Linked DNA regions of Mus musculus: region 2 is reported to be linked to region 1. Evidence: microRNA targets listed by miRTarBase, many of them from high-throughput screens and not tested one by one. Region 1 holds a microRNA gene; the other region holds the end of a gene's coding sequence.

What was found. Region 1 holds the annotated microRNA mmu-miR-383-5p (AGAUCAGAAGGUGACUGUGGCU, at 1,850-1,871, shown strand). A microRNA usually pairs through its seed, bases 2 to 8, with sites in the 3' UTR of a target mRNA and lowers its output. Matches are read on the target gene's strand: a 7mer-m8 pairs with bases 2 to 8, a 7mer-A1 pairs with bases 2 to 7 and ends in A, and an 8mer does both.
Region 2: miRTarBase lists Disp2 as a target of mmu-miR-383-5p. Seed matches in the 3' UTR shown: 7mer-A1 at 915-921 and 7mer-A1 at 1,943-1,949.

Annotation. Positions count from the first base shown.
Region 1 is chr8:38,250,049-38,254,048 of GRCm38, reverse strand. Mir383 (microRNA 383) reads left to right here and starts at 1,847; the gene lies at 1,847-1,916. All of the region lies in intron 1 of Sgcz (sarcoglycan zeta), which reads left to right.
Region 2 is chr2:118,792,242-118,796,241 of GRCm38, forward strand. Disp2 (dispatched RND tramsporter family member 2) reads left to right here. Exons shown (of 8, transcript NM_170593.3): 8 at 1-2,934. The coding sequence ends at 585. Among named protein-coding and RNA genes, the nearest start is that of Gm38629, 4.5 kb to the right of the region's middle.

The DNA of each region.
Region 1 (4,000 bases):
AGGCCATTGACTTGTTTGAGTTTATTTTATATCCAGCTACTTCACCGAAGCTGTTTATCAGGTTTAGGAGTTCTCTGGTAGAATTTTTAGGGTCACTTATATATACTATCATATCATCTGCAAAAAGTGATATTTTGACTTCCTCTTTTCCAATTTGTATCCCCTTGATCTCCTTTTGTTGTCGAATTGCTCTGGCTAATACTTCAAGTACTATGTTGAAAAGGTAGGGAGAAAGTGGGCAGCCTTGTCTAGTCCCTGATTTTAGTGGGATTGCTTCCAGCTTCTCTCCATTTACTTTGATGTTGGCTACTGGTTTGCTGTAGATTGCTTTTATCATGTTTAGGTATGGGCCTTGAATTCCTGATCTTTCCAAAACTTTTATCATGAATGGGTGTTGGATCTTGTCAAATGCTTTTTCTGCATCTAACGAGATGATCATGTGGTTTTTGTCTTTGAGTTTGTTTATATAATGGATTACATGATATCTTCCATTTCAATTAAACATGTATTACGCAGGTGCTGGCCTACACCCTTAATCCCAGGATATTAGAAAGAGGCCATATCTGTGACTTTGAGGCAAGCCTGATCCACAGATCCAGCTCCAGGGTAACCAGGGCTACAGAAAGAAAACTAGTATAGAAAAAATTTAAAATATTACAAAACAAATAAAAATTATATAGCAAACAAAATTTTTGCCAGTATTCCCAAAATAATAATAATAATAATAATAATAATAATAATAATACCCTAAGAATCACAGTAACTAACAATTCTTTCTTGGTCTTTTAACTTTTGCTAACATAGAAACTTTTACATGTTTAAGATATTTTCTATTTAACAGGATCATATCCAGAAGGAATATTTAAGAATAAGGGAAAATAATTTCTTGGTCTTAAAAAAAAAAATAAAGTGCTGCATTTTATGTATCTATATTAGAAGTACCTTAAATTGTGTAGTTTCTATTTTTGTGTAGTACAAAATAATTATTCATATCTTTATATTTTTGATGCTTTCTATTCTGGGTGAAAAATAGATGACTTAAGTAAATAAAAATAACAAATTTCTATGTGTTAACTTATATTCTGTAATATGCATTTACATGAAGTTTTCTTATTTTAAATGGAGTGTTATGAGAAACTATTTTTCAAATAAATTTATAAATATTACCTGTTTATTAAAACTCATGTGTTGAAGGAACAATATCTGTGGTTTCATTAATTACTTGAGCAATGGTGGGGAAAAGATATATACAAAGAGCAAGGTGACATTAATGTAATTCACTTGCATTTTCATGATTCTGTGAGAGTCACTTCTGTAAATATAGGTAGATAATATAAAGTCAAAAAGATCATATAGAATATCTGTGGTAACAAACTACAAGGCCGTGGGTCAGACAACCTTCAGCCTAAAATGGAAATGCTTGGAAGTTGGTGTGCTTTGTACTGTCAAGGAGGAAGGAGGGGTTTGGTTAAACCTTTTTTGCACTGCAACAAAGTTATTGGTTCATATTAATGAATCAGTTTGGTATAACTGGAAAAATAATGGAAAAAAGAGAAAACTTTGTCTGTAATTGGAATTTGCTCATGTTTTTGTCCCTTCCTCTCTCCTTTCATAAACAATTTTCTGGGAAAGAATATAAGCTTTTATGCACTGCCCATGTGATAATTAATTGTTTAATGTCCTTGAGATAAGTACTGCCTGTGATGGATGAAGAGCCATTTAGCTTTAGCTTTTAAAAGAATGACGTCGACCACTTCAGTGACTGATACTTTTTTTTGTAACCTGTGTTGTTTGTTATGCTTACATAATTTATCAAGAGCCTCCAGAAACTCCACGTCACCTGCTCCTCAGATCAGAAGGTGACTGTGGCTTTGGGTGGATATTAATCAGCCACAGCACTGCCTGGTCAGAAAGAGCAAGTGTCCTAGCCTTTTACCTCATGACACCTTGTGGGTCCATCCAACGTAGGTACAAAGGGAACTGCGTGTGTTGGACTGGAATGGCCAGCATGCCTCAGGTGAGATGAATGGAACGTTCAACCCATGTCTGGAAGCTTCTCTTTTTTCACAGAAACCAAAGGTTTGATTATGAGTGTCTTTGTTACTCCTTCTCTGTTCTTTAACATTTTAGGCTGTAAAGGGAAAATAACTTGTGGTTATGATTGGGAATTAGAAATCCACAAGAAAATTAAACTGTAAGTTTCATGTATTATCTAGCATGCATGCTATTCATGTATTTGCATTAAACATGAGCATGGTCTTCATTCAAGGTGACAAAAAAATGTACTGGAAGACAATTTTTTTTTTCACTTTCAGAAGTAGAGCAGGGTTATGGTAGGAAGCATGGTTGCCATGCCAAATAACACAAACCCGCTGTTCTAACAGTGGTTCTTACTGTTGATAAAGTGAAAGCCCAGATGTGTATTAATCAATATTCTCAGAAGCAATCAGTTCAGCAGGTTTTTAAGCTCAGGAAAACCTGAGAATAATACTGAAGCTCTCTAGGAAAGTCTTTGCTGGAGAGAAAAGCAATTACTTGGTAAAGGAGTAGAGGTGGGAGGTGAGCCAAAGGAAAATTTTGTATTTTGTAATTTTTTCCTAAATTTGGACCTGCTCCAACTTAGTGTAATTAAACAGGCAGCGATTGCCAAAAATTAAATATGAACAAAAATGAAAAGACAAGATGTTTGAAGGGAAGACTAGAGGCATCTGGTATGAAGAAAAAAGTCAATAATATGTTGAGCTGAGATGAAACATAACTAAACCATGAACGTTTGCAGGCAATGGTTGGCAAGGTATTTCTACAGGACTATGGGCCTAACAGCAACTTTGGTTGAAGTTTTAATTTTGATTGCATTTGATTTTCAGCCAACATGATAAACCATTTCTCCCCTTAAGTAACAGTTGAAGATTGTGTTAATATTTAGAAAGTCAAACTCTCTTGTAGGTGTACATTAATGGAAAATGACTTTGGATATTTTGTATCAGCTATTTACAATTCATCAACATGAAAGCCAAGAATGGAAAAATCATTTTTAAGTCTTGCTGCAATGTCTCTTCTCCACAAAAGATTCTCTGGTTTGATGATGACTAGTTTGATGATCCTGATTATCTTTCAAATATTTAGATAAATTAATTTGTAGCAATCTGAGAACTATTCTGTAGATACACTTTTTAAATTCAAGAGAATTATTAATATATAGTCTCTTTTAAAAGTTTGATCAGGAAAGATTCGGGAGCAGAAACATTGTGTTTGATTAAGGGCAACACATCTAGTTTGCTAAACTGTATTATCTAATGAGAGAGGAAAAAGGATTAAAAATAGATCTGATAATCTTTCCTGATCTTTTGTGTATTTTAGAGAACTCTGTCATCAATGGTTTTCCTTTACTACAACCTATTATCTTGTACAGAAACCAGCTTCATTCTAAGAAGAAAAGAAGAGTCAAGAAATTGGAGAAAACCTGCAATTTGATTTCTCTACCAAGTCCTAAGAAAGGGTTTCCTCTAAAGCCCAAACGTTTCTAACTTCAAGCTGAGATTTATTTTCTATTGTGACAATTTGGGTTACATTTCATTTTTATATATTCACATACAAGGAATTCTGTGTTGCAGACTCTATTGTCTGAGATTTCCACTTATCCTTACTATTATGGGACCAATCCTTGAAGTTGCGTGTTAGGATCATGCATGAGGTTCATGAACGGGCACATCTCATTGGTTAGAATCTATGCATACATTTTTCTGAAAATTTACATTTTATTAATGATAAATCCATCAATTTGTATGATTTTTACTTAATTTTTAAAAGTACTTTTTGAGAAAGGTTCACACTCTCTTGCTTAGGTTTTACTAGAATTTACTGGGTGCAACTGACTGACTAACCTACAAGCTTATAGCAAACTAGAAGCTTCTGAATTCTGAGTGCTGATGTTAAAGGCATGTATTGCCACAACCATCTAGTTTATTCTTTTGAAGTTTTTAAATCATTACCTTTTGAG
Region 2 (4,000 bases), not on the chromosome of region 1:
CAGCATGCCCAAGCCCCTGTCTCCCCAAGGGATCTGCTCCTAGACCACCAGACAGTCTTCAGCCAGTGTCCAGCCCTGCAGACCTCCTCTCCATATAAGCAGGCTGGCCCCACCCCCCAAACCTGGATCAGGCAAGATTCCCAGGGACAGAAAACTGAGCCCCTGCAGGCACTGCCAGAAGGCCCTGCCCACTGCCCTAAGTCCAAAGTGGAAGAGCTCCCCGATGGCCTGTGCTCCTCAGCCAGCACCCTGGAGGGACTCAGCGTCTCAGATGACACCTGTGCCTCTGAGCATAGTGTCCGTGTGCCAGATTCTGTGGGTACCTCCCCAGAAGTCATGAATGGCACTGGACACCCCATACTTGAGCGGGGCCAGCTGAATGGGAAGCGCGACACCCTCTGGCTAGCACTGAAGGAGACCATCTATGACCCAAACATGCCCAATTCTCACCACAGCAGCTTATCCTGGAAGGGCCGTGGAGGGCCAGGCGATATCAGCCCTGTGATGCTTCCCAACAGTCAGCCAGATCTCCCAGATGTTTGGCTCCGTAGGCCCAGCACCTACACCTCTGGCTACAGCAGCTGAGAGAGGCCAAGGAAGGCCAGACCAGGGTCCACAACCCTGTTGGTGAAGATAAGGCAGATGCCACACTAGCCTAGAGCCTGAAGGTATTTCTCCCTATTGACATGATGTCTTACCCTCCAAGTATGGATTCTAAACCCTGCCAGATGTTCTAGCCTTGATCTCTTTGCTACTTACCCCTGCATCTGGAGGATTCAGTGGGAGGGCCTTGCAAGGTAATACCAGGCTCTCCCTGTGACCAACTAAGGACTCATCTGTCCCCACAGTGCCAACAAGGACCCCTACTCTGGAAAGGAGGGAGGCCAGATGTGCAGTTCCAGGTATTGGGGAGGCTGATCAGCTGTCTCCCGGGTGACAAGAAGTTCAGTGACGCTAAGGTACTCCATCTTTGGGATCCAGTTGGAGTATCTCACTGACTAGAAAAACCCTTAAGAACCTCCACAGCCTATTGAATCTCATCCCTTCTCATTGGCTCTTAATCGGGACACTTCAGTTCTTGGGAAGCTTCTCTGGGCTGGAAGTGAACACGGGCCTCTGTCCTGCACTGTCCTGTTCTGCTCACACTCACCAGTGTGACTAGAAGCTCTCCAAAAGCAGGACAGAGGTGGATGACAAGAGAGAAGCAGGAGACAGGAAGGTCGGCTTTGGAGTATCCCTAAATTCCAAGATTCCCCCATAGGACGCTGACTCCAGAATGTTCCCCTGTAAGTGAGCAGTAGTTACCCCTTACCATTGCCACACCTGCCAGTCTTCTTGGACCTTTGCAAAGTTACTCCACAGTGGCCTGCAGTTGGTCAAGACACTGAGAATGGTTGATTGATTGTCCCCCAAAGTCATGTCACTGGGTAGCAGCAGGATTCTCTCCTGACTCATGCTGCCACTATAGCTCCCTGTCTCCTCCTGAGTGTGAGCTTCAGGGCCCTGGGCCCCTGGCTGTCTTGGTCCTTTGCTTCTGGCAGTTACCCAGTCTCTTTGCTTGAGCCTCTCTTTGTGAGCCCTCCCTCCCCTTGGGGCCTCCACCTCCAGAAAGAGTTGTAGTCTGAGTAGACCGGAGAGTTCCTCATTTCCTTTGAGTTTCCCCGCTCTGAAACTCTCTGAGATGCCTACTAGCCATGGGCCTACCGGGTCACAGGCAGCCGAGCTGAAGCTTAGGCTTCAAGGATGTGCCTCTTTCATGGCTGAGGAGTACAGACAGGCTTTGCCAGAAGAGGTACGAAGGGACAGAAGAATGTGAACAGAATCTAGTTAAGACAAGAACACAAAGTTGCTCTTGTGGAGTTGTCCAGGACCCTGAAGTCTAGGTATCAGGTCCTCAGTTTCTGAAGACTAGGCCTCCCAGTAAGGTTGCTTGACGGTGTCACTGATCAGTGGCAGAGTGCTCTCCTGACTCATCCTGCCACTATGGCTCCCTGTCTCCTCCTGACCAACTGCCTGCTTCAGGGCCATTAGCTTTCTCCACCCAAAGCACTCATGTGACACAGCTCAAGACACCAGGCACCATCTGCAAGTTTACTGAACACCTGCATTGGAAAGGGTGTTGTAAGGGAGAGAGACATGGAACGGAGAACTGGCCTCCTGCTGGGAAGCAGGCATTAGTGGGTCAGGGTTACTGCCGAGCTCAGGTGCCCAGCAATAGGTGACCGGGAAGATCTCGTGGAGAGGGATGGGTTTGAGCTGGGCTTCAGAAGATCAAGCAGATCAGACAGGAGGGAGCTTGGTGATCCAACTCCAAGGGTCCCCTAAGGACTGTTCTTTCAATAAGCTCCTGTGTCTAAAACTCCTGCTCCGAGGGGTGTGAGTTTAGGGGTGCTGCTAGCTCAGCTTCCCTTTCTAGTGCAGATCTCCAGGGGTCTCCAGGTCCCTGGGAATATCCATAGATCTTGGCATGAAGACCACCAATCTAGGCCATTTTATATAGGAGTATCAGAAAGGAGTTTTCCAGTGCCAAACAATCTAAGGCAAGGCTAGAGGCAAGCCAGAGGACACTTTTGTTTTATTTTGTTGAGTTCCTGTGTTATTGAGACCTATCTCCCACCCCAAGTAGCCCAGGACAAGTGGAGCAGAAACTCAGATGAGAACATAAGAATGTGGGAAAGACAGAAGACAGTTTTCCCTCAGTATCCATGGAGAACTGGTTCCAGCACACCCCGCACCTTCCAGCATACTAAAATCTGAGGATGCTCAAGTCCCTCGTGTAGAATGGTGTAGTATTTGCATATAATGATGCATATTCTCCTATATTTAAATCGTCTCTAGAGTACTTATAATGCCTAATATGATGTAAATGCTATGTCAGTCCTTACACCGTGTTGTTGTAATAATGACAAGAAAAATAATATGTGTGTGGTGAGTTTTTGTTTCTTTCTTTTATTTTTTTTCTGTTTCAATGTATTCAGGTTGGGTGTGGTTTACACACACACACACACACACACACACACACACCGAATATTCTGGGTCTGTGTGGCTGGTAAGGCCACAGAGAGGGCTGTGTAAGCCAATTCCTTATCAGGTAACTAATTTGATAAATGTCTCCTGATCAAGGAGGGCTCCGTTCGTGTACCTGTAGTGTCAGCTATGTGGGAAGCTGAAGCTGGAGGATTGCTTGAGCCCAGAAGACCAAGTACAGCTTGGACAACATAGTAAGTCCATGTCTAAAAAGAGGAGGGAAAGAGAGAGAGAGAGAGAGAGAGAGAGAGAGAGAGAGAGAGAGAGAGAGAGAGAGAGAGAGAGAGAGAGAGAGGAGTTAACTGTTGATATTTGGAAGCCTAAGCAGCCACAAGTATCTAATTTAAACCTAATGAGTGGGGAGTAGGGGGACATTCCTCAGGTTGTACACAAATAGCATTCCACTTTTCCAGCTTGTGGCTATTCAACAGAATCCTGGCTTAAACACACCATGTACTGTGTGCTTCTCCATCACACAGCTGGGCTGGGAAGATGGGTCACTGAGAGGATAAAGTGACTTAAGTTCCTTAGCACAAGCAGTCTGTCTCAGACTGGGTATAGCTTAGTGGTACACCACATGGTTAGCATACAGGAGACACTGTGGTCCATCTCCAGCACCCCACTCCGCAAAACTTTACCTTAACTCAAGAGGAGAGTACAGTAACTTCTCAGCAGTTGACCTTGGCTTTTCCACTGTGTGTTGTGGGAAGACTACAGTTCATGGACCCTGAAAAGTTGCTCCTTCAGCTAGGTGTGGTCATGCATGCCAGTGATCCCAGAACTTGGGAAAGGGAGGTAAGAGGATCAAGAGTTCAAGGCCGTCCTCTTAGAGCTGGTTTGAAGCCAGCTACAGGATACTCTGCCTCAAGCCTCAAGAAGCTCTCCCACAAAGAATCTGCAAGCATGCTCTCCCCTCTCCCGTCTTCCCTCTCTCACAATCTTCAGAGTGTGGGAAGGGTGCATGTGTTGGCAT